4 linked regions of the Coturnix japonica genome follow. The protein of the gene in region 2 binds, or shares a complex with, the protein of the main gene of each other region. Links are inferred from orthologs where the notes say so. Each region holds a gene or a part of one and is shown on either strand. Other genes may lie near its edges.

What was found.
Region 1: ERC1 (region 2) and PHLDB2 share a complex: the UniProt entries of both Homo sapiens proteins name them as parts of the cortical microtubule stabilization complex. The link is inferred for Coturnix japonica from reciprocal best matches to the Homo sapiens genes ERC1 and PHLDB2.
Region 3: ERC1 (region 2) and PPFIA1 share a complex: the UniProt entries of both Homo sapiens proteins name them as parts of the cortical microtubule stabilization complex. The link is inferred for Coturnix japonica from reciprocal best matches to the Homo sapiens genes ERC1 and PPFIA1.
Region 4: ERC1 (region 2) and PPFIBP1 share a complex: the UniProt entries of both Homo sapiens proteins name them as parts of the cortical microtubule stabilization complex. The link is inferred for Coturnix japonica from reciprocal best matches to the Homo sapiens genes ERC1 and PPFIBP1.

What each region holds. Positions count from the first base shown.
Region 1 is NC_029516.1:79,413,460-79,420,800, forward strand, and holds the end of PHLDB2 (pleckstrin homology-like domain family B member 2), read left to right. Parts: intron 1-805; coding exon 806-1,025; intron 1,026-2,274; coding exon 2,275-2,360; intron 2,361-3,066; coding exon 3,067-3,207; 3' UTR 3,208-4,977; downstream 4,978-7,341. Other genes in the region: ABHD10 (mycophenolic acid acyl-glucuronide esterase, mitochondrial), read left to right, coding at 5,753-5,885, 6,704-6,887, 7,063-7,174. UniProt on the Homo sapiens protein: Seems to be involved in the assembly of the postsynaptic apparatus. May play a role in acetyl-choline receptor (AChR) aggregation in the postsynaptic membrane.
Region 2 is NC_029516.1:52,075,631-52,084,285, forward strand, and holds the start of ERC1 (ELKS/Rab6-interacting/CAST family member 1), read right to left. Parts: upstream 4,990-8,655; 5' UTR 4,903-4,989; intron 4,834-4,902; exon of another isoform or gene 4,734-4,833; intron 1-4,733. Other genes in the region: DNA repair protein RAD52 homolog, read left to right, coding at 5,042-5,159, 5,884-5,972, 6,970-7,071, 7,567-7,660, 8,048-8,115, 8,373-8,491, 8,596-8,655. UniProt on the Homo sapiens protein: Regulatory subunit of the IKK complex. Probably recruits IkappaBalpha/NFKBIA to the complex. May be involved in the organization of the cytomatrix at the nerve terminals active zone (CAZ) which regulates neurotransmitter release.
Region 3 is NC_029520.1:6,943,549-6,951,588, forward strand, and holds part of PPFIA1 (liprin-alpha-1), read right to left. Parts: intron 6,123-8,040; coding exon 6,060-6,122; intron 4,899-6,059; coding exon 4,819-4,898; intron 4,543-4,818; coding exon 4,410-4,542; intron 3,412-4,409; coding exon 3,188-3,411; intron 2,775-3,187; coding exon 2,540-2,774; intron 1-2,539. UniProt on the Homo sapiens protein: May regulate the disassembly of focal adhesions. May localize receptor-like tyrosine phosphatases type 2A at specific sites on the plasma membrane, possibly regulating their interaction with the extracellular environment and their association with substrates.
Region 4 is NC_029516.1:62,768,752-62,776,791, forward strand, and holds part of PPFIBP1 (liprin-beta-1), read left to right. Parts: intron 1-2,003; coding exon 2,004-2,126; intron 2,127-3,348; coding exon 3,349-3,474; intron 3,475-4,278; coding exon 4,279-4,467; intron 4,468-5,041; coding exon 5,042-5,221; intron 5,222-5,577; coding exon 5,578-5,643; intron 5,644-5,725; coding exon 5,726-5,812; 3' UTR 5,813-8,040. UniProt on the Homo sapiens protein: May regulate the disassembly of focal adhesions. Did not bind receptor-like tyrosine phosphatases type 2A.

The sequences.
Region 1 (7,341 bases), about 27 Mb from region 2:
TCTGTGATTCTGTGATCTTGTAGCCTGTCTGCCCTGACTGCAGTGCAAGCCTTGGGAGACAAGTGGTCTTCTGCATTTAAAATGAGTTGCTGTGCCTAGACCCTCTAGGTACAGAAAACAGGCATGCTCTCTTTAGTGGGCAGAGGTCCCAAGTCGCTCCAATTTGTTTTCCCAGTTTATCCTATCTGTCTTAATGCAGACATAGTTCTGCACTGTGACCAAGATTGAGGCACTATTTCCTGTGCTGCTCTGCTGTCTCTTGCAGAGGGATACACTTCAGTTACCCATACTGTATTGCTGACTGCAAACCAGATACCACGTTTAACTAGTTCATGTGCAATTCTGTTTTGTTTCCAGCAGTATTTGTTAGGTTACAGTTCACTCTTTCTTCCTAATTTTCCTGTAATAGTATGTTCTTACTATTTATATTTTACATTAAGATACCATCATACTTAAATGTAGATACTTCTAGCCTAGGGAGGTGATGGGTTTGCTTAACCTCATGCCAGTGAAGTTCTCACAATCCATCTAAAGGAGTAACACTCCTTTCACATTTAATTCATACTCCAAACCAGCCATTCCGTTTTGCCAGCTTATCAACTGATGATTTCAAGAAATTTCCATGCTCTAAATCCACTTCTATAAAGTTCCATACACTTCTTAATAGTCATATTTAAAGGTTCTTTCTGATATCTTCATTGTGAGAATGTACGGCCAGTTGACACTTATCTCCTTGTAGCAGAAAGAGTGAAAGAGAAGTGAAGGCTTCCATTAAAATAATAAGATTTTCTTTTCTTCGTTTCAGGCTCGTCCACTGACTCGCTATTTGCCCATTAGAAAGGAAGACTTTGATCTACGAAGTCATATCGAAACAGCTGGTCACAACATAGAGACCTGCTACCACGTCTCCCTCACAGAGAAGACCTGCCGAGGCTTTCTGATTAAGATGGGAGGGAAAATTAAAACGTGGAAAAAACGATGGTTTGTTTTTGACAGAAACAAGAGAACTTTTACGTATTATGCAGGTAGGTTGCAGGATCAATGTTAAATGATAATGCAACTTCAGCTACCAAAGAAAACTTCTCCTAAGTCTCAAGGACCCAACAAACACTTTGATAAGAATTCTGTACCAGCTAAGCAAAAATGCAGCTGCTTCTATGAGTGACGACCTGCCCAGACCTTAGTTATACAGTAGACTTCCAATATAAATTTTGGTGCTGTAAATTCAGTGTAATTGAATTCTAAGTACTGGTAGGTTGTTTTAGTTCTACGAGTCTACTAAACCGAGCACTTGCCCTAAAATCTGAAAATCTAGTGCAGTTGCCTGTGCTGCATAAATAATATATTTTGCTGTATAGTCTTGTATTTAGCTTTTCATAGCATATGCTATAATGTCATGGTCTTATAGCTCAGTACTTTCAACGTCCTCTCTTGGGGGCTGTCAGGGGGATTCCCAGCACAGTGTCATTTGGTTTCTGGGATTTCTTTTTGCTATTAATCATCTAAAGCTTTGGAAACTGATGGCAGCTACTGATAGGATTTAAGCTGAGGCCACAAGCATTCAAAGTGACAGCAGAATCTCTCATGTGACTGATTAAGATCTTCTGTTTGGTCAGTGCTAAGGTGATACTAACATGGCATCACAAGGCATTACAGTCCCCGTGTACAAGAGTAGTGAGCATGGGAGGAAGTCTTCCCTTCAGTATTGAATGCAGTTCTGCTGCTCCAGGACACTCTCTGGGAATACTTAACATTGCAGTAAAACAGAAGATACAGAAGATAGGGAGAATTATAACAGGAAGAAGCATTTTAAATTGTAAGAGTAAATGCTAACTGAATGTAAGGCTTTTGCTGTCAAACTGTATTTCAAATTTGCTTTTCATAGTGTTCCTCTGAAGGAAAACCGTAGACCTTAGTCTGCTAGCTGTGTTGTAAGACTTCAGTAGTATCTGAAGCCTGTCTGGTTTTCTTGGAAGTGGAAGATTGGATGCATCCCAGGTTGAAACCTGGCTGAAAGGTTTAATTGCTTCAGTGAGGGTCTGCCTTGAAAACAGTTGAATTGCAAAAGCCTTATTTCCTCAGAAAGCGGACAGAAAAGAAGAGCAAGCAGGAAATGCATCTCTTGAGAACAAAGATTTTGGGGTATTTCACAAGCAGAAGTGTTAATCCAGTTACTTACCTGCCAAACGTGTGTGAAAATGCAGAATAACATTTTGCCTCTTGAAGTACCATTCATTTCAGTTTTCAAGAGCTGTTCTCTCTTTTCCATTTCAGACAAACACGAAACTAAATTAAAAGGTGTAATTTATTTTCAAGCTATTGAAGAGGTCTATTACGATCATCTAAAGAATGCATATAAGGTAAGCTTTGTTATTTTGACCGAGTATCAATCATATGGCAGTACTCTGAGTATAGTAACTGCAGTAAAATCAAAGGGAATTGACGTTATAAAAACAACAAACAGAAAACAAAGTGGAGGCAAAGGAAGATGAGGCCAGAGCAGTGACAAGCATTGTTTGTTTATACTAGTGAAGCAGAGATAAGAGAGAGCCTTCCTGCCATATGATGGACCCACATTGGCATCTGCTGTGAGGAGTTCCATCATCTGCTGCCAAGACCACTAAAATCAGTAGCTCTGGCAAAGTAAGGGGTGGCTGCATGTGACTACCATAGGGAGGGAGGTACGTGCTCCCTGCTGGTCACATCTGTAATTGAGATGTCAGTCTGAATATGAACAATCTGATTATCTTTAATATGTGGATTTGTGAAAGCCAAAGCAGTTTTGATCACTGGACATAATCCCTGCTCAAGGGGACTTGTTTGGGCATGAAGCAGCAGTTCGGATGCCTGTATTGCTGTGTGATAGTCTAATGGAAATATTAAAGCATTTATACTGGATGCATATGCTATGAACACATCTTTGTTCCCAGTGCTGCAGTGTAGGATGCGATTCCTTTCTCTCCCCTAACCCTGCCCTAAATCTCCATGTAAGTAATCTTATTTCTGTTGCCAATTTGATTTTTCTTTGTTTTGACATCCTCCTTTCTGCTTCTTTCTTCTTTTTAGAGTCCCAACCCACTACTCACTTTCAGTGTTAAGACACATGACCGAATATACTACATGGTCGCTCCTACGCCGGAAGCCATGAGGATATGGATGGATGTTATTGTTACGGGCGCGGAAGGCTACACCCACTTCATGTTATAACAAAATGGGGCAATAGGGCATACTGCAATAACGTTAACGTATGAAGTTAGCCATATGTAGTAAAATCTGAAAAGCCACATAAAATACCAGTGAACATTCTGGAATATCCTCCTTATGATGTGCAGCCAAAGCCTCGGAACGGAAGGGTTTTCTAAATGCATTGAAAAGGGGGACTTGCTACTTATTTTAGTTGATCTTTGTAGAGACAAAAGAGCTAAAGCTGTTGAGAAAGTCAAAGTGCTCCAAAACAAATAAACCGGCCACTTAACATGACAACATCTGGATTCAACGCTGATTTTGTACCAGTTCTCTTAAACAGAGAACGTCTTCATCAACAGTTGACGAATGCGTGTGCTCTCATCGGTATGCAGAAATTCTAGTAACGAAACAAAAAAGTGTAATAGCATATATTTTAATATGCAGCAATTGATGTTTATAGGTGAGTAGGTGACTTTTAAAAAACTTTTAGTCAAGTATTTTATGAAAGTATGAATTAAACAGCTGCCCTAAGGTACACACAGTTCTTGCCTTAGTAGTTAAGTATTACAACAGAGCCAAAGAGTTATATGACTCCCTTATTGTAATATTTCAGATTGTTAGCTGTATTTAACTTCCTGTAAGGGGACAGTGCCAAAACTCTTCGTGACTTGTAAAGCAATTACATTTTTACACAACTATGTTAAACCACCCGGTGATACCGACTGTTAAGTTTAAAGTCTGTATCTATGAAGCTCAACAAGAAAAGGACAGTGTTATACAGATGGATTTATCCACAAGGATACGAAATGGAAACAGAGATTAACTTTGTCATTAGGAGGACTCTTGTCATCTTCTGTGCTGAATGGACTGAGCTGATTCTGGACCCTGCAGCGATTTTATGTAGTCAAGTCCCACCTGATGTGGTTCTGAACGTTCTCTGTGCCAAACAAACACTTTGCTGAAACCTCAATTGTTGGTCTCCATGAAGCAAAGACTGAAGTATCTACCTGTCCAAATTCTTTGTTTTTAGCCAAGGAAAAGTGTATCTACTCAGAATAATGCTATCAGAATTAAAATAGAAAGACTGGCTCTGAAGGTTTACGCTGAGCAGCGTATGGATGAAAAAGCATGAAAATTTTAAGCACTGGGGATTGAGGTTCCTAAAACAATGAAAATAAGGAGGATCCAGTGGTCTCCTATTTAAAAATCACTTAAAATTTCCAAATCCTTGAGAAATATTGCAAAACTTAAGTGAATTGAACTTCAAGAAAGTCTCTTATTCTTTGACTTTAATGAGGTTCTATTTCAGTAGTCAATACTTGTGCAATGTAATTTGTGTAATAAGAGAAAGCACATTAGACCTTTTCCAAGATGAAAAGCTAATGGCTTTTGATGAAGCAGATGAAAAACTGAAAGCAAAACAAGTTTGCTGGCAAAATATCTTTGTTGTACTCCCATGTCTGTTAAGAAGGGGATGCATTCTTCCTTGTGTGATACACACAGGTGATATGGGTTGCTCTGCTAGCATGACATCGGTCAGTTTTGACTGGAATCAATGAAAGAAGGGACAGTTATCACAAGGTAACTGTTATCATCTGTGCAGATCACAGCTTATAATCCAACCATTTAAAAACACTATCAGAATAAATTCCTTTGGTATCTGTAATTATTATTTTTCCCTGACGTATCTTGATTTTACTTCTTAGCATAGTTATAAAGGTTTTCTAATCATGATTTTTGTATCCTGCATGATGCAATGAAGGCATTTCAATAAATGTTTTTAAAAACACACTTTTAAATGCTCGCTTGATTCTTGATGTGTTTCTGCTTGTCTTCTCATTATTTTATACGCTTGTGCAAGCAATGTTGTGTGGTCCCACAGCTTCCCATACATCCCAACTAACTGCCATCTTGCCACCTTGCTTTATGATGTATAGGCACACTTTCACATTCCTAAAACATCATCCAGTCTTTCACTCTCTATGGCTAATTATCTAGAGCCCGACTGAAACAGAAAACCATTACCTTGATGTTAGAACCGCTGTTCCAACTCCCTTCTGAGAGATAAAATTCAAATTCAGTCTGTGATTTTAATTAAATAAATGAATGTATGAGTGAAGGACTAAAAGGATGTGACAAATGAGAAGGTTTATTATTCAAACATCTTATTTCCAGAGCTATCAGTCTATCAACTACCAACTGATGCACCTGTAGCCGGGTGCTGCTGTCCCTGCTGCCTGCAGAGAGTCCTGCACAGACTGGGAACTAAAGAACTAAAGAACGCTTTTCTTTAGTTTGGTTCCCATGCTTTCGTTTGATATTCTGGAATCCAACAGAACCAGTGATGCTCCTGAAGCCGTTTGAATCACACCCCTTTCTACAGCATTAAGTGCTTTATCTGTAAGGGAAAGGTTTGATGTAGAGATGGTGTCTGGATGCAGGACTGGGGCGTACGCTGAGTTTGAGGGCAAAACTAAACAGACAGGAGCTGTTTGCTCCCTCACAGATGAGAGGTCTCGATGGGCAGCCCTGAGGTACGTACAGCACCCGCTCACCACAGCAGCCCATGGAGCGCATGCGGAGGCGCATGCGTGTGGAGGCGGACATGGCGGCGTCTTTGGGGCTGCGGCGGTGCAGTGGCTGCACCTCAGTCCCGCTTTTGGGGTTGCCGCTGCTCAGTGCGGCCCTGGGGCTCCCGGGTAAGGAGGGGCCCCGGGTGGGAATGGAGCCGCTCCGCTGCCTGAGGAAACGCGAGGAGGAGGGGGCGGGTGTGTTGGTGCGGGGTCTCACTCTTTGGGCACTGCTGCCGCTGGGGTAGAGCGGCTGGAAAGCTGCCAGGGGTAAAAGGGGCGGGGGGTGTTACCTGAGAGCGGAGTGTGCGACGTACAATCCTCTAATCTTAAAGATTAAGAGGGTTAGAGTCTTATCAGAAGTCTTGTCCAAGCTTTCAGTTTAACACGTTATCTTGCTGAGAGGGATAATAGAGTGGATTAATTCCTTGTAACGCCTCTCTACAAACCACTTATCTTCATCCACAGTAGAGGTACAGCTGGCTGCTGAGTTCAGCAGATCTTTGCCTCTTTAGGAGATGCATGAGAAATGTATATTTCCACAACAGTCAACTCTTTCTCCATATGATTTGTATTTAATACTTTTTTTTTTTTTTTTTTTTTGTATTTACAGAAAACACAGCTTGATTTTTTAACCTCCTGTGTTTTGTGTCTAAGTGCTGTTAAGATGAAACAGTGCTGAGGATCTTGACTCAGAGCTTATCACCCTAATTTTCAGTGTTACTGACAGTAGTCAGCATGTGACTGATGTTACTGCTAAGCACCTTCAAATCATTACATTACAGTATTGAAGAATGTAGAAGACACTTCTGTTTTTCTTTTCTCCTGAGCCTAAGTACTGTAATTTCACATAACATACATATATTTCCTGAATTCTCATTTTATAAAATGCTATTATTTCTGCCAGAGCTGTCTTAGTGGTGGTACTTCATACCTCTCTTTATTAGTTTGCAGGTGGAAGTCGTCAGTCAGCTTTCTTACTCGACCTGATCGACCAAATCTAGCCTACCGTAAGCTGAAAGGCAGGAATCCAGGGGTTATTTTCCTTCCAGGCTTCCAGTCAAATATGAATGGTCAGAAAGCAATTGCCCTTGAAGATTTCTGCAGCTGTCAAGGTCATGCCTTCGTCAGGTACATTGTTCTTGAGAATATGAAATAGGTATCATATGTTGAGTTGGGTGTTTGATTTGTAGTGCATGCTGTTCTGTACACAAGCTCTGTTTAATTTGTGTTCAGCAATACTGCTGAGTTTTATTTTCTGTGTTGTTGTAGGTAGTACCACAACTTTTGATGATTGGTTTTTCAGATTTGATTATACAGGATGTGGAAGTTCACAGGGGAACTTTGAGGAGTGTACAATTGGGAAGTGGAGGAAAGATGTTCTTTCTGTACTGGATGAACTTACAGATGGACCACAGGTTGTATTTCATCCTTAAATATAAAACATGTTTTTTTTCCTGAAGGTGGAATATTGTGTAATCAAAAATACACTGCAGTAGATCCTGTCTAGAATAGCTTCTGTTTAACGGCTTGCACCTTCTAGCTGTCAAGCAGGCCTGTTTGAAATGACATTATTTGTAGGGCT
Region 2 (8,655 bases):
CTTAAGGACACGCAAGAAGCACACAGTCACGAAGCCAGTTTCAGTATTTTCACCGACACAGAAGCCTGTCACAGTTGAAGGGAAAAAGTCACGCGGCAAGATAAATCATTTTTACTGCTCCTTCGGGATTGTTTTCCAGCTGTATTCATCACTGGCCTTTTCATTTTAGTGCCGTTAGGAATCCGGCAGCAGACACAGATATTAAGACAATTCACTCTAGGAAAACCATCTTTCATCCTGGAAATAGCAAAGTGAAACAAGTGACAGAAATGTCGCTTCTTGTCTTCAATCAGCAAGATGAAAGTTCTAACTTCTTTCCAGTAATGCAAGCAGAATTACATGGAAGACTTCTTTCATATAGCAGCATAAGCAGAAAAGCTACAGTTCTTCAATGTTCCGAGCCACACACTAACATTTTGCTAGGAGTCTCAGAAGTGCAGCTTCTTATCTTCCCAAAGTCCAAAATAACACTATTTATTTTCTTCCTCCGCTACGATTCTAAATTTACTCACAGCTAAACCATCTCTTTACCTTACGGGACAGTTGAAACCACAGGGAACAGTGTCAAACTGTGACCTGAACGCACTGACCATTCTGGCTTTGCAAATTGGTTTTAAAAACCTTCAGTCTTCTCTGTCAATACAAGAAGCCTTCCCTGTGATTATGAGGAAGAATTATAAGCTGTAGGTGTTTAAAGAATTAATAATAGAAAAAGCCATCTTAAAGCACAGTGATGCCTCCTGTGTCAACCAGCAGCCATACGCTTAGTCCAGAAGAATAAACTGCCCAGTAGCACCGATCCATATCTGCATTAGAAGAGCTTTGAACATCAGCTCTACAGCAGCAACAAAATCAGTCTTTACAAGAGCAATCTTCACCTGATACTGCAGCGTAACAGAAACATTGAGCTTCATTTACAAGGGTATTCGTTTTTCATAATTCATATCCTAATAGTTAATCAAGACTGACTGGATTATGCAGAGGGACCTGGACTTTCTTGTACAAATGCCAGGGTTGAAATGACTTTTTTATAAAGAATGTGGAGTATCTGTCATCTTGTTTGACTTGCAGGCCTGGAAGGTATTAGTTTTATCTATCTGCTACATTTGACTTTTAGCTTTGGGAGGTTAAAAAGCTCGCCAGTTTTCAAGGCAAATTAGTGACTGCTACACAGAAAAAGGGCAGAAGAAAGTTTATCTTGGAAATTGTTTTCAAGCCACTCAATGCTGAATACACAGCAATGAACCCATGGAATTCAGACTTGTTTATCCATATAAAATAATCTTTATCCTCATGGCCTGAACGGCAAGAAAGCAAAAGCAATTAATGAAACTAAGACAGAAAGAAGACCAAAAAAGTAACTGTTCATGTTATGTTTGACTCTCATCCCTAGATAGTGGATGTCAAAGCACCAACATCTGTTTATGTCCATGCCTGTTTATAGTTATTTGTTAAGTTTACCAACTTGAACACCTGTCAAGCTGACTGAAGGTAACACTGCCCTTGTTCTGTCCCAATAGACATAAGATGGATGCTTTATCCCCCACCTCTCTGTAGACAGAGAAGTCTTCCTGAAAGAAAAAAACCTCAAAAGTCACTGAGAATGTGGATGTGACATTTTGGAAGCTGTGTCATATTAAAAGCAGGCATCCCTGAACTCTGACCCTGACATTCTAAGGAATAATCTCAACAGCCATTTATTAAAGAAGGGTTTTATTTCTAAACAGAAATTGACGCTCCTGTTCCAAGCTTTCCAAATTTGGAAAGTGAGCATTAGTGGTATGCATGCACTTTAAACCACCACACAACACAGAAGCATTCTCATTATCTGTCCTTTATAGATTTCGTTCTGTTTCCCATTCTTCTCCTGCATTCTTAGAAGATGTAACAGATTAAACATGAACCAGAACTACTCACCAGCTTCCTAGGATACTTATGCCTCTCTCAAGCATAAAATTCCTTGCACGAGATCTATTTGCTCCCCAGGCAAGATAGGAGTAGAATGACAAAACACGCTCTGCTCCATAGCAGCTTGTTTGCAAAAGAGGTTTCAACTGACATCAGGTTTTGTTTCTTATAATTCCACTAATTACTGGATATAATAAAGGCACGAAGGGGTATACATTCACCACCACAGTTTCATTCCTTTATATCACTGACTTTGTTACAAGGTGGCAGGCACACGGAAACATCATGAATCATCCTTAATTGCACCCTCAAATCATCAACCATTTGGGTTTACCAGAGGTAGGCGAGACCCAAGGGTCCCTTCCACATACATACACATGGGCTTGGTGGGCACATCAGGGTTTGCATTGGGCAATGAATGGGAGCTGACTCCTCTAAATGGAAAGCAAACACGAGACCGAACCAACAACATTTGGCATGTGGTGTTTTTTTCCTTTATAAAAAAAGACGCAAACAAAAGCAGCAGAAGTCACAACATGCACCTAAATTTGGTAGTGACAGAACAGCTCCCATTAAAATAACTATTGCTCTTTAAATTACACAGAAGGTTGAAGACCTGCAGACATCAGTTGGCTGTCAATGAATGGCTGAAGACTTTGTAGCCTGACTTTTAGAGTACAGTACATAAATACTGTGTGCTTAGTATAGGGCTGTTTCTCCCTTTCCCCCAGGCAGCATGTGACCAACAACCCACTTCCCAGTAGCACAATCAGGAAGATACACAACCCTAAGAGTGATAAAGGTGCTTCAGAAGCCCAGAAGTACATAGAAACACTAATGAAGCTGCTCAGGCAGACAGCCTCAGCTCACCACAGGTAACATCGCTGCCTGATGCGGTGTGCTCCTTCACTAAAGTAGCAAACATCCCCTTTCTTGAACCAGGTGCTCCTCACCTGAGTGCTCTGACAGTAGGGTAAGAGCCCAACCTTGTAGACCAGGTAAGTACAGTAGGGTAGAGCCAGACCTTGTAGACCTATTAGCAGTTTCCAAAGGGCTTTGCCAACGTAGCAAACAACACAAGAGATGCATTTTGGAGAACACATTCAAAATAGTTTGATAACGGGGAAGGGTGAGGGGACAAAAAGTGTTATCACCCAGATAACACAAAGCCAAACAGGAAAAACGGCTAAGAGCCTTAAGAGTGATTTCATTACAGCTACACTGGTTTGCTGGGCAATGTGGAAAAGTTCAAACTATACCAAATATTATGACAAACTCATGTTTTAGCCAGCAGATCCAGACCTGTTTCTAGCTGCAGCTCCCTCCCCTTACAGCTTGATGGACTCAGACAATTCTGTATTTCTGGGTGATGGAGTGAAATCAGAAACCTGACTATTCAGGGAACTGCTGTTCTGTGCTGAAGTACTGAAGTTCAGTTTCCAGAACTGAAATATAGTCAGGACAGCAATCTCACTTACTTAATAATTAGTGGTTTAATCCCAAAACCTCATTATCGATAAAAAATGATTATTGCTTTACCAACTCCTCTCACAACAGCACAAGACAAGGTGACAATTTTTCTCTTCTAATCTTGTTTGAAGGGTGCTGACTCATATGCGACCCTGAACTGGGGCACAAATCTCAGCTTTATCAGCCTTGAACACAAGATACCAAAACCTTCACAGTGATCTGTCAGGTTGTGGGCTGCAGGAGCTCAGGAGAAGATATATGTTCCTGCTGTCGATGCAGTACCCTCTGGGAGAAAAGGAGGGCAGGCAGATGGTGGAGGTTACTGTTCAGACATCCAAACTGGGTTGGCCATCTTAATACAATCAGAACCCTGCAGCCAAACTGGACAACTTTTTCCTGTTACAACCTGTTGGTTTGGAGGCAATGTATTATTCAGCGACAATCACCCCACCTACCTTCACATGCCCCCCCTGCCCTGGAACAAGCTTCAATAAGATGTAAAACACTGTTCTCCTCACCCATTCTATTTCTAGGAATCTGCCTTTATTCTCTCATCTTTTATGCTTCTGCTTCTCCCTTAGCTCCGCAGACATTTCTTTCTGCTTTCCCGTCTCTTAAACCTCCCCATTTCCATCAGGGTTTTACCCAGAACATTTCACACCCCATCAGCACGAACCACAACACGGGCTTCCAAGTCGCACGTAAAACCCCAAGCAAAAGGCATCGTGAGCCTTCATTGCTGAGGTTTAAGGTTCACGTCAGGAACGAGACAGATGTGGAAAGCCAGCAGCTCCCGACACGCGCTTCAGGATGGCTGCAGATGCAGAAACAAAGCATGATGTCAACTGACACTCGGCGCTGTAGTAGGTTCCGTGGGATGAACGCGGCATGCCCAGAGGTGGGGCGGAAATCACAGCTCGCCTTGCTCGGGGCAGAAAGGCGGCCGGCACCATTACCTTGCTGATGGCACCGAGACAATGAAGGCGGACGCTTGGCGAGGGCACGCTGACCAAGTAGGGGCGGATCACGATCGCAAGGAAGAGAAGCGGAGCCCCACGGCCGCCCCACAACCACCCCCCTCCCTGAGCACCACCCGGCGGGACGCGCCCCACTCCCCTCCGACCGGACAGCGGGGGCAGCCGGGCCCGGGGGTGCTGCTGCCGCCGCCCAACACAGCACAGCACAGCACGGCACGGCACAGCCCAACCCAGCACGGCACAGCACAGCACAGCCCCGGGCGGTGACAGCGCGCTCGAGGCCCACGGAGCGGCGAGGCCCCGCACCCCTCATCCGCCCCCCCAGCCTTCCCCCCGGCCCTGCCGCCCCGCAGCCCCCCGGGAGCGAACCGGACCCACCTGAGCGGCTCCCGCCGGCCACCAGGCCCCACCGCAGCCCCTGCCCAGCCCGGCGGCCGCCCGCAGCTACCGGCTCCCGCAGGCCCCGCCCCGCTCCTGGCTCCCCCCAGCGGCCGCCGAGCGGCGCCGTCCCCTCCCGCGGCCCCCATTGCCCAGCGGGGCCCCTCACCTGCCCGTCAGCGCCGCGACCAGCTCGCTCGCCTCCTCCTCCTCTCCCTCCCCCCCGCGTCCCCTCACGGCCGCGCGGCGCCCCGCCTCCCCCAGCCGGCCTGCCCTGCCCTGCCCTCCCCTCCGTCTCCGCCCGCGGGATGTTTGTCCCTCTCTCTCGCCGTAGCCTCGCCCGCTTCCACCGCCCCATTGCGTGCGCGGGAGCTGCGAACGGCGGAGGAGGAGGAGGAGGAGGGTGTGCGGCCTGGATGCATCCAGGTATGGCGTCCAAAGCCCCTGTCGGTGGGGCCGTACGAGTTCATTCCTTTGAGCGTTTAAAGGTAGATTTAGAGTAGGGCATTTGTATTGCTAATGTGTCAGCACTGCCCTGTGGCTCTTCTGCAAACAGCTGATTATCTATCCCAGCGTTAACGTTTGAGGCGAGTTAAGTGAGGAACCAGCCTTCATGGCATCATCCGGCTCGTTCTCACCAGCTGTTAGAATAAATAGTGACTCAGGATGTAAAGCAGCACAGCCGAGTCACCATCGGGTACGTGTTGGGTGCTGACTTAGAAAAGGGTGCCATCTACTGAGTTATTGGCACAGCATTCATGGGTGTCTACAAGGAATAAAAACACATCATTTTTACCCGTTCAGTACTTAGAATAACGACTTACAACATGTTAATTGCTGTCTCTGTTCTTATACAAGAGCAGAACAGCACATCTGCCTTTGGGATGAAGCTGATTGTCATTTCTGCCCGTTTCTGTCTATTGCACAGTATAATGTTTTTAAGAAGAATTTGAGCTGCTGTAAAACAGCATCAGAAAACAAATCTCCAGCTGGTCCACAGACATACGCACAGAAGTATGAATGGTATCACTGTATTGTCCAATATATTGCAGTATATTGTTATACTTAGTGTGCAGTGGACTATCGTGATGTGTTTTCTTATGGATAGTTGACTCTTATTTTCAATAATGGTATTTTCTTTGGTCTTTAGGGATGCCTGCAAGGCAAGGGAAGGACAGTGAAAGCCATGTCAGCAGCAGCAGTACCAGCAGCAGCAGTTCAGTTGCTTGTTTCGGACAGGTCAGTTCCCTTTGCCTGAGAAATAGAAGTTCCATTTTTGCATTACTGGAAATCTCCTTCACATATCTGCTCATTGTAAAGATGGATACAGTTAGGTTAGAGTCATAGAGCGGTGATGTAATACTGGAGTTATCTGAAGGACCTTCCCTGCAGTAGGGGAATATGCTGTACACTCCTCAGTAATGATCTAATTAGATTCATCACCCTGGCTGTTGTCCTGATGGAATGTGGTGATAAACTTTGGTTTAATTTGAGTTTTTAAAGACTTTTCTTGTGAAATATTACGTATTAGTTTTGAGAGATCGGATATAAATGTGAATGTGTATTCCTGGCAAGTTTGACTAGGATTATGATTGCATTAAGATTTCACTAGGATACTACCAGACCTGCCTCATTTAACTTCTTTTATGTAAATGATGGTTATGAGAAATGGAAAACATTTTCTAGAGCTTAATGATGAATAGAATCATAATTGGTTGGAAAAGACCTCTAGGTCTGGTCCAGCCATCCACCAGTCACCAATGTCTCCCGCTAAACTGTGTCCCTAAGTACTACATCTACCCTTTCCTTAAACACTTCTTGGTTCACACACTGCTGGCTCATGTTCAGCTGAATGTCAACCAACACCCCCACATCCTTTTCCTCCATGCAGCTTTCCATCCGCTCTGCCCCAACCTGTAGCATTGTGTGGGGTTGTTGTGACCAAAGTGCAGGTCTCAACACTTGGTTTTGTTGAACTTCACCCCATTAGCCTCAGCCCACTGATCCAACATGTTCAGATCTCTCTTTAGGGCTTTCCTAACCTCAGGCAGATTGATATTTCTCCCTAACTTGGTGTTGTCTGCATATTTAGTGAGGGTACATTCAGTTCTCTCATCCAAATCATCATTAAAGATATCAAGGACAGGGAAAATGGGTTTATGAAGTAATATTAGGAGAGGAGGGATAGCTAATATGGAAAGAATGAGAAATTTTGTTTTACTTTGTTTCCATCCAGTATCAATATACAGCAAATGAATATCAAGCCATCCAACATGCTCTTCGTCAGAAACTGGGCCCAGAATATATCAGCAGTCGGCAAGCTGGAGGAGGACAAAAGGTACGAATAGATACATAGATGAATAGATACATAGATGAATAGATACATAGATGAATAGATACATAGATGCATAGATGTTTTAACTTGCATTTTTTTCCCCTCAAGAGAATTATTAAAATAATAATAATCCTTATTTTTTAAAATTATGTTCTTATGGAAAAGCCACTTAACTTTTCAGTGGTTCTTCCTACTTGTGGAAGGAACATTGAGATGTTTTTCTTCTTCTAGAACTGGAGTATATGAATCATGATGTGACATTAGCTCAGTTTTACTTCTTTATTGCCTGCTAGCTCTGCTCCCCTTAATTCTGGCATATTCATTCAGTTACCCCCATCACAGTTGTCAGCAGATGGTGAACCTAAATCTGCATCATCATTCAATTATCTTGAATTTAGCCAGGTTTCCTCAGGGCAAGATAATCTATGTAATCTTTCTTTAAAGTAAAGAGTGTGTGTGTGTATGTGTATATATATACGTGTATGTTTCTCTTCTCAGGTCTGCTACATTGAAGGTCACAAGGTAATCAGTCTGGCCAATGAGATGTTTGGCTTCAATGGCTGGGCTCATTCAGTCACTCAACAGAATGTTGGTAAGTCTCTGATTGGCATAAAATAAGTCTGTCCATATTTTACACTATGATGACTTGAAGGAAAAGTTTCTCAAAAAGGTTCCGGACTGAGAGTCATGGATTAAGCCTTGTGCAATGTTTCCCAAATCAGAGGCTTCTGATAGATAATAGGAAATAAGTTGCTTTTATAGCCAGTTGAGGTTCTTTTCCATTGTTGTTTCTATAAACTGATAGTTTAAATCTTTACTTCCAGCTGAAAAAGAATTGTTACTCTTTAAACATATCTAAGATATGTATCTGAATGAGGAGTAATGTTTACAACTCTAATTTCTTTCATACGTAAGAAACTGATCTGGGTGGATCAGAAGTCTTTTGTGTTATTTAGGATGCTCCATTTTATCCCCTCAGACTTTGTTGATCTCAACAACGGCAGGTTCTATGTGGGGGTCTGTGCATTTGTGAAAGTCCAGCTTAAGGTAAGTGGATTTTTTGTTTCCTCTGTCTGTAGCTGAGCAATTGCATAAAGCTGGGAATGAAAGTAATTAGGCCAAACTGTAGTTCTCAGGAGTAATGCACTACACCAGAGAACATAGTGGAGTCTAAAACATTGACCTTGCTACAAAGCATCCAGCTAAGGGCAAGTTAACAGGCTTAGGAAAGCACAGCATCTAGCAAGGAATGCTTTATGTGCAGAATCTCCTTTATACTTAATGCTTTCAAAATCTTACTGCAGGATGGCTCTTACCATGAAGATGTGGGCTATGGAGTCAGTGAAGGCTTGAAGTCCAAGGCCTTGTCCTTAGAAAAGGCAAGAAAGGAGGCAGTGACAGATGGACTGAAGAGGGCACTCAAGTAAGTGAAGATCAGTGTTTGTGTGAAGATCAGTACTCGTACACTCTCAGAAGTGAATTGGGAGCTGTTATTTTCAGTCACAATGAGCTCTCCTTGTTTCTTAGGTGCTTTGGAAATGCTCTTGGGAACTGCATCCTAGACAAAGACTACCTACAAGCAGTTAA
Region 3 (8,040 bases), on a different chromosome or scaffold from region 2:
GAAAAATAATCAAAATTTATAGCTGATATAGTGGTACTATACGTGAAACCAGCACACAAGATGCGCAATTTATCTTCAGTAAGAGAAACAGTAGAGCATTATGGGGCATGAGTTGTTGCTTCTAAAACAGAGAGGATTTCCAGTCTTATGTCAAGGACTCTCCTTCTCCCCCTGAACAACATGAGCTACACATAACAATAGCAGGCACAGAACTTAACTCAGCAGCATTATTTCAAGCACCTTAGCCAATTCTGCATTTGTGCTATACACCATAAAAACCAGTCATACTTCAATAACTGTGAAAGAGTGCCAACAATGGCTCATTTTGACACAATAACACTGCTCCTTTTAAAAAGTTTAATGTGCTGGAATGCTTAATTCAGATTCTGCTACTAGTTTTACCTAATCTTCCATCCACTCCAACACCCACTGGATTTCACTTCTTATATACTTCTCAATTCTGCCACCACATGGATCGGGATAGCAACCTTGAGTTAGGTGAACAACTTATTATTAGCCTGAATAACCTGATATTTGCCATCATTGTATTTGGCTACTTATTATTTCAAAGACTGTAAACCAAAAATGAAGTCAGTAAAATAGTCAACAGCCTTCATATATTTTGCTGTTTTGCTGTTGGTGTTTTTAAAATCAGTACCAACTTCTAATCGTCTTCCAACTAGAATGGATGCAAACTACACAAAATTAATAAGTTTTGTTATTGTATTATGACTGTAGGGAATCAGCTAAATAAGAAAAGTTCTGAGAGAAATAACATCAGATTCATACCCAATTTTCTGGCTCTTTCCTCTATTAAATTTAACAGAACAAAAATCTGAAAATGATTGCAATGTAGAATGAAAGAGATCCATGCAAATTGCTGAAAAGAGCTACATAAGCTTCAGAATTAAGCTGATAGCTTTTAAACTAGATGAAGGGTTTTTAGCTAACTGTACTACCAAACACTGCTTTAGTTACTTAATTAAGCTAACGATGCCAATCATACTCAAAACTAATGCAGTAAAAACTCATCCTGTCTGATAATTCCCAATAGCCTCTCCAAAAGTTTCTGGAATCTTTTGTTCAGTATTTCTAGAAACATTGCTTATTGTCTACATGCTTTAATAAAGACTTTCATAAATCAGTTCCAAAGTATGAAAACAAATATACCATTGCAATTTAATTTGTACCCCCATCTGCATTATGTATTAAGATAAAATATTCTTCTGATCTCATTTTCATAAACATGGCTATTTTATTTTATACCTGTTTTTTCTTTTAAAAGAGGTACTCAGGAGTTAGGTAACTACTTTTTATTGTGAGATATAAAGCACTCCAGCGCTTGAAACACCTTAATCTACACAAAATAAAGATGTGCTTGACTCTGGATTCTTAATCTGAGCTGTTATAACAATCTCTGTTGTTGTGGTTTTTTTTTAAAATACAAGAATGGCAAATGATCCTTTTTAATGGAAAAAAACCTTGCGTTACACACAGAATTATTACATATTCATTTCAAAAAGCTGGAAAAATAGGTGGCAGAAGTACTCCTTTTTAAACTCCTAGCAAAGACCTAGATTAGATATATCAATCTGTTGCAGTCTACCTGCCATTGCTGTGTTGGTTAGCATGCCTTGTCCACTGAGTCTTACAGACATGAGACAAGTGCAATAATCCAAGACAAAATGTAGTAACCATTATATTGCACATAAAACTATTAAGTACTGGTTCCAAATCTGGAGACAAAGTAATGTTTATAGAGAGAAGTATTCTTTTAATTCTGACATATGGAACATGTTTCACTGAGGAGTATATTAAGGAGACAGACTTGTCTAAAAGTCATATAAACATAAAGGTGGAAAACTGGTCTTTTTCTTTTTTTAACAGGTAGGCTTATTGCATCAAGCACCTCCTAGAAGGATTAATTTCCCTAAGTAGTTGTAGGAGGGTCAAAAGAATGTATATCCATCCTTCTCTGTTCACTGAACTGCAAAGACCAAGCTGCCACTACACCAGCCTCTAAGTCTAACATATTTACCAACATGTTTAATAGGCTAAGAAAAGGGAACCAGCACTCAATGCTATCACAGCTGTGACATCGTGCAAACTTCAAGATGTAAGTAAGATGTGCAAATTAAGCTTTAGTTGAATATTTAGCTTTAAAAAAAAAAAAAAAAAAAAAAAAAAAGATGGCTAAAAGTAAAGTTTAAAACAGACAGTAACTAGTTGCTGGAGTGAGGGTTAAAAAGAATACATTCATTTCTTCCAGGAAGAGTAACAAAGAAAAATCATAGCAAAAGGAATACTTCAGTGTGAGATGCTGACCAGTAGAATTGAGTTCTCAATGTTTTGTTGGGGTTTGTTGTTTTTTTTTAAAATCATTCATTATCATTATTACAGAAGTTGAAAGGACACAGCAGAAATAAAAAGAGAAAGGACAAATAGAGTTAAGTAAGAAGCAGAGGAAGGGGAGAATCAAATGCATTTCCTACAGAAAAGGAACAGTCACCTTGGAAAAATAAAGTTAGTGAATACTTACCAGTGTCATGATACCTAGTCTGTCCACTTCCCTAGCTGGACTATGCGGAATCCGCCTTGGGGTGGAGCGACCACTGCCAGGTGGGGAAGAACCAGCAAGGGAACCACTTGCGTAGGGAGGAGGAATGGAGCTCATGGATCGGAATCGTCCGTGGGCATCCAAACTCCCACTACCCACTCTGCTTTCAATTTCCTCTGCACGCTGTTCTGTGTTTTCCTTTTCTTCCTGTATAAGCCTAAAAGAAAAAAGGGTTCCAAAGGAACATAGCATTCATACAAGTACCATATAATGAGAACGGCCCACTCAAGCATTTTGAAAAGCAGCGGCACTTGACAGACAAAACAACTGCACTGAAAATTTGGTAATCCAATCTGAAAAGAGGTTGTAAATACTACAACTATTACCACCATGCAGGGGTTTTTGCCCAACTGGCAATACAATCCCTTCCACAAATGAGACCGAAGACCTGAAAGGAATACTTAAGTCAAATGCACTCCATGCTTTTTTTTGTTTGTTCATCAATTCCCACTCTCCCAGTCCCTCAAAGGAAAGTGAATGAGCAAACAATTCTGTGAGTAACTGTATAAAAAGGAATTCTTCTGTCACACATAATTTTTCAGTAAAAATGTAGCAGCAAATATGCCATACCTAATCTCTTTGTTAATTGCATCCAGCTGCTCCTGAAGCATCATGGCCAAAGTCTGAGCATCAGCCTGACCACTTGGTGACAGCAGATCAACTGAACTGAAAATAGTCTCTCTGTCATCCTCACCATCAGACACATCGACATCGCTTTCAAATGCTTGTGCCACATTTGCCAATACACTTGCTTGCTGAGCTCGCTCCCAGTCCTGCTCATTCAGAGTTTGAACCTGTTAAAAGAGAATTAAAAACAAAATCTCAGATATGAAAAGTGATATTTCTACTTGTATGGGAGATCACAGTGTGAACCACTGATTAATCAGCTGAGGCAAGTGTGGGGTCAGCTGTGGGAGCACAGGTGAAAGTTATGTAGCTGTGCTCCCTGGAGGGGTGGAGTTCGACTCCACCTCCTCTGAGACCTCATTTAAGGGCTGACCCTCACTGAGGCAGCATCTCTTGGAGATCGCTCACCAGGGAGGATCACCTCAGCTCTGGTGAGTTCCCTTTTCCTTATACCTTCTGTATTTCCACCATTTTCCTTGTAATTGCTATTCTTGTTAGTACCAGCATAGTTACTGCCAATACACTACTATTTTTCAAGGTGTTTAAATTTCCTTTTTTTTTTTTTTTTTTAAAGTCCACTTGCTTGAGGAATGCATCTATAAAGACAGTGATATTCAGAGAAACATAAAACAAAAAGCTATGATGCAGATACTTGGCCTCTTATGGATAAGTACAGTTTTAAAACAGCCAGACCCAATAGTTAAAACACCATTATCTTGGCTATATACTTCCTCAACAGATTTTTGCTAACAAACACAATGAAAACGTTCAAATCAGCTTTATGTAAAAGGAGAACTTGCAAGACTTGGTTGTAGGACGGTGAATGTTAGATTAGTGAACCAAAGTTGAAATCTAAAGTGCAGACACACAAAGGAAAGACTCTTTCATATTATATTGCACAGATTTATCATACTTAAAGCAAATTGGACTTTACAGCCCTAAAATTGCAGTCTGAAATAAAATTATACAGCCTAGTAGCTGTGTATTAGATATTCTGCTTCACTAAAAGCAAGCACATAATAAAACATATTTCCATATAAAAGATCCAGCCCTTTTAATGTTGTGTAATCCTATTCCACCAACTCCTTGCAACAGGTTAACTTCAACTCATTTAATCTGTTGCCAAATACTCGATTGCTGTCACTTCCTTTCAGAGTTCTATTACCTTTGAAGGCTCATCTCTGAGAGCTGCCAAACGGCCTTTCTGAGGACGCCTCAGCACAGAAGAGGTGCCATAAGAGTCTGCATGACTGTCAGCCACAGATGAAGATGTCATAGGGTATCTGAAATCTGGTCGGCTAAGACAGGAAGAAACACTACCATTAGCAAGATGAGGAGAAGAGTGAAACAAACTAAGAAACCCACCCCAACGATTTTTATTGTACCCAGGCTTTGTAAAGCCTTTTTTTTTCTTTTTTGAAGTGGTGTATTAGCTGCATTATCTGCTCTATAAAGTATGTTTTATAGCTACAACTGAAGTGTTTTCATTTATAATAGGTAAAGGATGGATTTTTTTTTTTTTCCTTTCAGGAAATTAGAAAAAAAATAATTGAACTACAATTAAGTGCTCGTACCTATGATGAAGAGACGTGGCTCTCAGTCTCACTTGGTCATTTTCAGCCCTTAATGCTTCAATATTTAAGACAAGTTTATCCTATAAAGATAGAAAATATGTAACAATATACATTAAAAAATTCAGCCTCATATCCTAAATCTATAAGCTAATACTTAGTCCATTGATCTAATTGTTACGAAACTCAAATGTAACCAGATTTAAAACAGCCTTGAACAACACATAACCAAAATGATTACTGCTACACAGTGCAGCACCATAACAAAAGGGCCCCCAAGGATAACTCTTGGTTCTCTACAATGTGAAAAACAAGTCCTAAAAGCATCCACGTTTAACTCTAGCACCCATAAATGCTGCAAAAACTTGGAATTGAACAAAGCAAAGCAATAAATGAGAAAACAATAAAAGACTATGAAAAGTGGCTGATGATAAACATCTGTGCCTTGTGTGAAAACTAGTGGCCTACATAAAAATTCAAAGCACATCCCATAAAGTATTCTGAATATATTCTTCATTTTATTACAAAAATCACAGCCCCTAATAGTTTGGCCTAGCTACTTACTAAAATGATTTGGGAAAATGCAGTACGCCTGTGATTTAATAAGCAATAGTATTATTTCAGAACAAGGTGATCATAAAATGAATCATCACTGCTTAAGGAAGCGAAATGAAAGGCCCCAATGCTATTATTCAAGAAGTGAATTTGCCAGTTACAGGGCCAGTCACTATTGAAAACTAAGTCTAATAAACATCTCTCTCAGAATTTTAAGACAGCTTTATCAAACAGGCATCTTACAACATCCACTGCTTCAAGTATACATCCAGGGGAAAATACCAACTGTTAAAGTATTTCTTTTTTTTTCTCTTACTGTTCATAGTTTTACGTATAAACAATAAAAAAAAATAAAATGCTATGTAATCTTTTAAACTTCAGCAAATTGCTAATATATCCATGCATATTCTTTGCATGTATTTGTTATACACTTTACATATATATATATATATATATATATATATATATATATATATGTTACATCTGAGAAAAAAAATATTATCTATAAAAACATCACAAAACTGAAGCAAACTAATATAAAATAAAGCACACCAGCCCACAAAATTGGTATTTTTGGACTAAATAGTGTTAATAATATTGAGCTTTAAGGGGTAAGCCAAATCTGCTTCTGCTATGAGGCAACACAGCAATTATTTTCCAATGTAACATTGCAGAAATACATATTATACCTTCTCATGTTGAAGTTCCTCTATTTGTTTTTTTGCATTTTCAATTTCTCGAAGAAGTGAATTCTAAAACAAAACATATCACAAGTTATTTATAAAAGCTTACCACTCCTAAACCATAACCAGTAAGAGCTACTAACAAACTTTGGTCATATTCTACAGATGTATTTTAATTTACCAGACAGCTTACTGCTCCTGCTGTTTCACTTTGATCACATCTGAAAGCATATCCTTTTACATATGCAGCCCTGTAAACAATGGATTTACTAACAGCAGAAACTCTATATCCAATTCAATACAAATACCTTATTTGATCAAGAAAGAAAGACACCAAATAATAACTATGCAGCTAAAGAACTTTAAATTTGTTCAGTGTTTTGGTTAATAAGGTACTACTGGCTATCATCACTGAATTTTCATTTTGTTTTCACTTGTCTGATTAACAAAATTACTATAACGCAAGAGCTGTTTTCTTCACAATTATGTTGCAACTTTTAAATAGCTCCAGTAAAGACACTTACAACTACTACAATCTGTTGAAAGTAGTTCCCAAATTCAAATTAAGAATCACCCGAGAGCTACAACAATCAAAAAGATTTTAAACTAACATGACCACAGTAAATGATTTTAAACCAAAGTCAAAAAACTCCCCCTTCTAATACTAAATTTATAACCACCTCATGTATTCTTTGCTTTTCAAAGTTGCCAAAAAGTTCTGCTAAACGCATTTCCTTGAGATGAGTAATACCACTATTTGCATTTTAAACATGTCATAAGCTTTCGTAAGTGAACAAACAAATCATTCTGGGAAAACAGCTTCAATGATTAGAAGGAAAGTACTCAAATTTTTATATGCGTGTTTCTTTCCAATTTATCACAGAAGAATGAGTTGCGGCAATACTTTTCTAGAAGCTGTTGCTGACAGTGAGGGACAGCTAAATTTTCTCATTATTCATGAATGCAGTCCAGGTTTGAGGAGTAAAGAGCGGTTTCAAGTTAACTCTAACACATCCCTCCCAACACTGACCATAAAAAAAAAAAAAAAAGCCATCAGCTGCTTCTCAGAAATCAAATGTATGAAAACTGTCAGAGCAACCTTAACAGTAAGGCCCATAACAAGAGTCAGAAGTACTGGGAGCAGCTGGTGATCTTGAAAATAGTGATCTTAAAAGCTAGAATGAAAAGTTTGCAGACTTACATGTCAGACAACTGACTTCCCTGTCCATGGCAAGGACAAGTAAATTCCCTTTCAATTCAAATCATTCTATGATCACACAGGAAGCATCTTCACCATTAACCCAGAAGACCAGAACCAGTAGTGCCTACATTTGTACTACAGTACTTGATTTTTCTTACCCCCGAGAATGCAAAAGAAGGAAAAAGAAAAAGCTGAATTTCTAATGAACTGAGGAGTAGGCAGTTCTACAACTCTCAAAATACCCAAAGGTTTAGGGATAAGAACTGAGTTAACATGAATCCATGAGAAAGTAAACACACATTGAAGCCTGAATACAACACTGTAAGCCACTCAGCTTTTACTGAGGCATTTCTCCAGATGGTCACCTCAGCCTCCTACAAGAAACTAACTGTTTACTAACCCAAGACAAAGCAATTTAGCAACGAAGTACTACTGGTAAAAGACACTTGTTTGTTGTTTTTTTTTAAAAGACAGGCATGAAAGAAAATCCTTAAGGACCTAGCTCCAAAAGCAGAAAGAAATCTAAGGTAAATACATAGAAATTTTAAAGAGGAATTAAATACAGGAGAAGGCTCTGACACGTGCACTGACAACACAAGGAATAGTTCCATTATATTTGTATAACCTGTCCATCTGGGGAAACAAAAAAACAAAGCCACATGATTGTCTCTGCTTGCAAGAATCTCACAATGATTTTGAAAAACCAAAGACAAAAGCTGTGGGAAATAAAAAGAATCTGAACTGAAAGGGTCACAGTTCAAGTCCTAATTCCTCCAACTTCCTGTA
Region 4 (8,040 bases), about 11 Mb from region 2:
ATAAAAGTTATTATTTTATGCCATATTTGCTTGTGTTTTGTATATTCTTTACATTGGATTGACTACCTGATGTCATTTTGCTGTTTAGTGCACTTCAGACAAATGTGTAGTACTTGTTGCTTACATAGAGTTTTCATGTTTGTTGGCTTTAGTTTATTGAATCTGCATGTTAGTATAAAAGTAGGAGGCATCTTGTTTCTTCTGTTAAATCTTGGAGATCTGATGCCAGTAGGTTTTGCTGAGCTTAATCTTGTGTTGGGAAGCTTTGTCACCGTATTGAGTGGGTGAGCACTGAGTGTTGGTAAAATGCAGCATAGGCAGCAATGTGAAGGATCTTCACGTTACTCTTTTTTACTCTACACATTAGTCTTTTTTTTTTTCTACGAAAAGAGAAAGAAATCTGATGGGTGGACAGAAGAGGGATAGGCAGTCGGAGCTTTGCCTTTGAACTAGATAACTCTCTCTGTCAGTTTCCTTTAAAATTAGGTCAGTAGGAATTTTTTCAGACAGTGTTTAACCATCAAGTTCCAGCAGCAGATTCTATGTAAATAGTCAACTAAGTACAAGTGTATGCAGTGTGAAAGAAAACTTCTAAAAACCGCGTGGTAATTCACCTTTACTCAAACTAAAATAATGAAATAACATGAAATAGAAACTCTAATCTTAAGTTCATCATAAAGTTAGCCAAAAGCAATGAACTGTTTGGACAAGCAAAGAATTTAATCTTCACTTATTCTGACAAAATCATGAAGCAGTCCGCTGTTTGTAGCACACAAGTGGTGTTAACACATAGCTGTCTAGATGAACCCCAGCATGAAGATGTGTACATTCACTTGTCAGCCAACTTGCACCAACAAAGTACCAGACTGTGAGACACTTAGTGACATAATAAGGATTAAGTTATAACTGAAGTTAGCAGGAATGCAGATCTCACAGCATGTGACCACTTCTGCAGGGTAGGGCAGGTTCTTTGTTTGCAGCCCTTCCTAGCGCTGCAGATCTGGATGATCTGGGAAGTCTCGCCAGGCTGGTACATAATCCTTTGTAAACATTTCCCATGCCTGAATTCCGTGAATGAGAGAGAATCTGATTGTTTTGGTTTTGACACGCTACACTTCTGGGGCTAGATACTGGAGTGAAACCAAAGAGAGGCAAAATGTGTCATTGCACATATTGCAAAGTTGTCAGCAGGTCAGGATGTTGGGTTGTACCAACAGCATTTAGTAACCTGTGAGCCTTGTCTAAACAGTGTCTTGTTTGCTGTTGTTCACCATGTGTGTCCATGTGAGTTAAGTTGTCTTGGTTGCCAAAAGTCTCTCTCCCAATTCTCAGTGATTTAAAGGAGCTCTGAGACCAAGGAGGTGTAATGGAGCCAGAGCAAAACTGCTAATTGCTGCTGTAATTGCGAAGGGGGAAACTAGCCCTTCCCAGCTTTCAACATCTGAAAGCTCCTGGTCCAGCCAAAGGCTGTGACTGGTTCAGGGAGAACAGGCTGTGTGAGGCATTCCTTGATGTGGCAGAAATTGTCCTCGGGAGATGTCTGACTCTTTCTGTGAACGCTGGTGGGAGCTGAAAAGCTGATCTGTATGAGCTGTAAAATGAGTTCTTCTGTGAGATTAATGTTTAAGTAAAAGTTATTGGGAGGATTCAGATTTTAGAGAAAGAACTGGCTGCTTTTGTTAGTATCACTGATGCTTTACAGGGGGGAGTGCAGGGTTGTATTGTGCAATGCTCTTGCCCAGCCATATGTGAGAAGGGATTCATCCTTACTGAAAATGACCTGGCTGTGCAGTTATGCCTTACAGTGCCTTGTTGTAGAGGTGAGCTCCAGGCCACCCACGGGATGGATGTCTTGACATTAATCCCTTGTCTCATGTATTTAAATTCTAGAATATACTAGATGTGACATTTTAAGCCACAGTCCAAAGCTGCTGAGGAAGCTGTGTGTTGGTTCCACTGCTAAGTGCTTTCGTGTGTATTAAATCCTCCTTCCTCTTCCACAGGATGACTTGCTGTCCTTGAAGGTTGTCAGCGTCCTCCACCACCTCAGCATCAAAAGAGCCATCCAGGTTCTGAGAATAAATAACTTTGAGCCCAACTGTCTGCGCAGGAGGCCATCAGATGAGGTACTGCTTCAAGATAAAAGTGTGAAGAAGAAATCCTGTATGGTTTTCTCCCTATGTTTCTGATTATTTCTCCTCTACCCTTTCCTCTCATATTGGCTGCTTCCTATTTTATTTTGTGTCAGCTTTGGTTTCTTTCTTGTCATTTTATTCCCAAGTTTCATGTCCTACTGAGGCTACCTGGAAAACAACTGATTTTTCCTTCACCTGCTGCAGCCCCAAGGTCATGTCTCCTTACCAAATCTCACATTCCTTCTTGCTAACAACTGTCCTTAGTCTTTGATGTAGTTTCTTCAAAATAAATAGTCCCAAACTTGGTGCACAGCTTCTGTCAGGCTGGTATAACTGTGAAGTGTGTGGCCATGTCAGAATTTTCTCTGTAAACAAGTTTGGTCTTATCAGACAAGAAACTGCCACTGATTTGTGTTGGAAGGAGTATATGCCAGCTATGGGAATGGATGATAAAGCAGCTCAGAGTCTTGTATTTAGATTCTAATGCATATCTGCAAAATAACGCCAGCTCATGGAGCTAGCTCTCAGCTCTACTCGTAGAAATCACAGCTAATCCTAGTGTGCAGCAAGATCTTCAGACTGCATGAAACATGATACAGACCTGTTCACTGCACTCAGGAACACGGCTCGTGTTGTTTGGCATGACAATCCTGCAAGCAGAGCAGGAAAGATGATCGCTTCCCAGTAGGATAAACACAAGCTAGGCTGCTGTGATAAGCTCTTGGCTTGGAATTATTAGAAAGATACCCTGTTATGAGTGAACAGTACTTGAATCTGACTGATTTCAAGCCCTTCTGCCTTGATGGAAGGCTTTAGACTTTTCCTGTAATGAACAGGAAAGTAACAGAAAGGTAGCTTCATATCAGTGTCACCATCAGCTAGCGTCAGTATTTTAACTCCTAAGTGAAGAATCAGCTTAAGAAACTCAGTGAAGAGCTCAGAATGCTGTAAACTATATGCAGTGCAGAAATAAAAGATTTCTGTTGAAAATGCGATTTACATCTGCTCCAGAATCTTTGATCCAGTCCCACTTCAGTATTGTTGCAAGATAGCAATCCAAAGAAAGTGAAAATCTTTCCTTTCTTTTTTTTTCTCTCAAGAGCAAGGTGGGATCATATGCATAAAGGGCAGGAGAGGTTTGTTTCAGTATAGACTGGGGCTGGGACATCTGTGTTGGGAAGCCTCCTTACCTGCCTGTTCCTCCTGTTCACAGAATAATGTCACACCTTCTGAGGTCACCCAGTGGACCAATCACCGCGTGATGGAGTGGTTACGCTCTGTTGATCTGGCAGAGTACGCACCTAATCTGAGGGGGAGTGGTGTGCATGGGGGGCTGATGGTAAGATATTCACAGGCTTACTTTATTGCTTTAAAATAAATTGCGACTGAGAATTATGAGTTCTATAATCTTTGCTGCACAGATACTTACTTCTGTCTTCTTTCTCTTCTTAATAATAAGTTGCTGTCGATATTTATTACCCAATAATTTAAAAGACACAAATGGCTTGGACAAAGTTTGTTTGGAAAGCAGTGAATTTGTTTGCCTGTGTCCCCTTCACAATTTAATGGCATTTTCTACCTCCTAGCCTACAATACTAGCATGCTATTACACAACCACCATTTTCCTTCCTGCACATGAACATGCTTTTATTTTGTGGGGAAGGCTTGATTCTTTAGGAAAATCAGTGTTAAAACAGCATTGTTTTTAATTTCTCTGGCATGAGATAGATGCTCCAGACATTAGGCTTATGCATGTAGAAGTTCAGAGTGGTTGAAACTTTATCCCTTTTCCAGACATTTTATGTTTGTTTATTTTCCATCATTCCTTTGACTACATTTTCCAGAATTGAGGAGGATGGTGGATAAACATTTTGTTAGAGCTTTTCCATATCATGTGATCTAAGCATGAATTTAGCTCTTCCTTATGTGCCAGTTTCTTTCTATTTATAACTCAAGAAAGAAGGGCTGGAGATAGCATTTTATGAATCCTTTAACTTTTTTCTTCATCTTCATTGCATGTTTTCTCTAAAATAAAAACCCAAAGCAACTTTAAGAAGTGGCTGAGCCACACATCCCCATCAATGTCCTTGAGACCTTATCAAACAGTGCTGACTTCAACTGGACTCTGTGGTTCTGTTAATAGGTTTTGGAGCCACGTTTCAATGTAGAAACCATGGCCCAGTTGCTGAACATCCCACCAAACAAGACACTGCTGCGACGGCACCTAGCCACTCATTTCAACCTCCTCATTGGGCAGGAGGCCCAGCAGCAGAAACGTGAAGCCATGGAGTCCCCAGACTATGTCCTCTTAACAGCAACTGCCAAAGTTAAGGTAGGCCACTTGTTCTGGGTTTGTGTGTGAGCTGCTAGGTAAACATTTAGATCTCCAGCGTACTAGTTTTATGCATTCTTGGAGGGCTGTTCAGTAAGCTTTGAGAAACAGGGTCAGCTGCTAAAGTGAAAACAAACAAAAAAAAAAAACATTAAAGCAGGACTCAGCAGATAAGGGTTTGACTCTTACGTCTACTATGAGCACACCACATCTCAGCTCCTCATATGTGCCAAAGAGAGATAGAACTCTTGTGGGCTGTCCATCTGACAGTACGATAACGTGTTTGGGACAGAGGTGTTCTTTTACTGTATATATGCTTGTGGCTGTGTGCAATGGGATTCTGATAACATTTGGGATCCTTTAAATGTTATTTTTGTAGTAATGATGGAATGAGGGGGTGCATCTTGTTCTTATGGATGTGGTTATCTGGAAATACAGCTATTGAGAAAGCTGTTAGCAGAGCACTGTAGTCTTAACCCTTCAGCATTTGCTGACATTGAAACACCGGCTGCAGAGACATCTCTTACTTCTTTGCCGACTCTAAGTTTTTGTGAATTTTCTCTTCACTTGTAAGCCAAAGAAACTTGCCTTCAGCAATTTTGGGAGCCTGAGAAAGAAGAAGCAAGATGATGTGGAAGAGTATGTGTGCCCTATGGAGCTGGGGAGGGCCTCTGGAAGTGCACTGAAGAAAGGTTTCAAGGGTGGCCTGGATATCCGAGTATATGATGATGATGATTTGGACAGGCTGGAGCAGGTAAAACTGTTCATAGTCCTTGACTGTGTTGTTAGATTTGGTGGGAAGCCTCTCTTTCACAGTGAAACCTTTCCTTTCCTTTGGCTTGTGAAGATCCTCAGTTTTGACAGTCACAAAGCACTACTCACAAACACAAACACGTCTTAGCCCAAGAACTGCAAGCTGTGAATGCAGCGCCTGTAAGACTGTAAGACTGCCTCTGACATAACTTGTCTTCTGTCCTGACAGGGCACGCTCATCCCTCTCTCTGAGTATGTGGGCTGTAATAAAGCATTTGCATTATTTGCTGAACTTAATTGCCACTGCATGCAGGGGATTCATTATTCATTCATTATCCATTATCTTTTTTTTTGCAGATGGAAGATTCAGAAGGGACAGTGAGGCAAATAGGAGCATTTTCTGAAGGCATCAACAACTTGACAGTAAGGCTTAAAACTGTGATCTGTAGAATAACAATTCTGGTTCTGTAAAATGAGTTTGACTCTTTCCTCATTTCCTTTCTAGCACATGTTAAAAGAGGACGAAATGTTTAAAGACTTTGCAACTCGCTCTCCTAGCACCAGTATAACAGATGAAGACTCCAATGTGTGACAGCAACCAGCAGGCACTGATGAAGGCTCGCTTCCTATGTGCAAGAAACGTCATCACGAGATGTGATGGGCAGCAGATCATACACATTATGTCGCTCTTGCTTCTGTTTGTTAGAAGTAATGCTGGGGGGTGAACAATTTAAAGAACTGAAAAAAAGAAAAAAAAAGGTGCCTAGTCTAAAGTTGCCATAAGAAACACCCAGACACTGGTGAATGGAAATCGTTTTTACTCTATTTAATGTACAAACTGGTGATATGTTTCAGAGTGTTGCATTTAAATTGACGTGGTATCATAGTCATGCTCCTTTTTCTTATTCGTGTCCTGAGATAATCCTTTGTATTGTTACAAAGTAAAGCAAATTGTTAGGTAGAAAAGCACCGTGCTTGTCCTTGTCAGTCAGCTTTCTGTAGGCCCTGAAATGAAGATGTTACTGCTGTCTTTTTCAAAGTCCTATTCCCCACACAAATGCTAGTTCTGCCCTTCCCTTGGTATCCAACGTAGGATTTTAGTTCTCTGTGCCCTGCATAATCTCACCAGTAGCTCTTCACCATTGCTTTTATTTTTATACTGTTTTATAAGAAATAAAAATAATTAAAAAAAAAAAAAGAAGTATATGAAGTACATCTAAAAGCAAAACTATAAATTTTGTGACATAGAGTAACGGAAAGTTCAAGATAAGGGGAAGGGGGAGAGAACTGTTAGAGATTATCCCAGTTTGCACACCAGCTGGTTACTGGAAAAGGCAGGCTGACCTTTGGAACTGTTTGCTTTCGTTGCTTTTTTACTGAGTTCACAGTTAAATGATCTTCCATTTGGGGTGGAGAGGCTGTGAAGCGTGTTTCCTCTAGCAGTGACTCCTTGGGAAGCTGCTGCTTTCAAGATGTCTTCTTGTTCCCGGCGGCAGTGATTTTATAGCGTTCAAACTCAGTAACGCTTCTGTGACTTAAAAATGTTCTGGAGAGTTTTTCTTTGAGTTGAGGGTACTCCCTGCACGTGGAAGGGATGTTTCTGTGCTGTGACTGATGTGAGGATGGTGTAGTTGCAAGCAAATAAAGTTATATAGAGAAATGTATAGGAAATATATTATTTCGTTATATTAAAACTAAGGTGGAACTTTTTCCTTAAAAAAAATCCAAATATCAAACGTGTTGCTCATCATTTTACCTTCTTAGAGCATAACTATTTTTCCTTGAGGGTCATCAGATTTTAGAAACATTATCTAGCCAGTGGAAGTTTTTTTGTCAGGCTTTCTGTATTGCGAGGTGTCCCAGCCAAAAGCAAACAAAAAGCATCTCTGTTTATTACAGCGGTCTTTTATACAGTGTTGAACATTGCATGTATTTTAGCACAATGGCATGAAGCTTCTTTGCTTTGTAACAGGGAAAAAAAGTCCAGCTGTGCTCCTTGTGGATTCTGTTTGGTTTTTACAAGAGTTTGTCTCTCGTTTCATCACTGCCCGTGCTGGAAGTGAGACCACGGCTGACACACTGATGTGGGGTATAATGGATCTTGGATCTGTGCTGGTCCTGTGGCTAGGGAAGGAAGGAAAGGGATTCCATGGACCTTGCACCAGGTGTTAGACCAGAGATGTGTTCCAGCACTCTGCTGTTGTAGCCTTATGAGCTGTTAACAGTCAGGTTGGGGTTTTTTAATTACTTTTTTATTATTTTTTAATTATTTTTTTTTTTAAAGAAGTGCAGTTTGGGTTAATTTTCATGTGCAAAGATGAAAACTGTGATGTGGACCAGTTGTGTTATATATGCAATACCAAGTGCTGCCGTGCTTTCTTCAGTAGCTGGAGCCAGGCAAATGAGCCATATTGTATTGATGAAACAGTTTGTGCCGCTTTCCATTTGTGTACAGACAGATCACACCTGGTGCTTTATTCAGAACTCCTGGCTGAGGAGCACCCGCAAGTAAATTGCTGTCTGATGTTTCTTCTGCAGTTCTTGGGGGTGGCTGAGCTATTCCAACCAAGCAGAACCACCCCGTTCTATAATGCCTGCTTGCCACTGTCAGGTACAAATCCTCATGGGGTGGGTTCAGGGCTTGCTTTCTGTGAATGCTTTGCAGTGCTGGGCTCAAGACCGCTGCTCTGCCACATGCAGGAGAAGCACAGGAAGACACGGTGCAGGCCTCTGAGCAGAAGTATTCCTTCAGATTCTCCTGAGGAGATGCTGGCTAGTGGATGCAAGGAATGAATTCTGACAGGAAAAAAGGGGCTATTG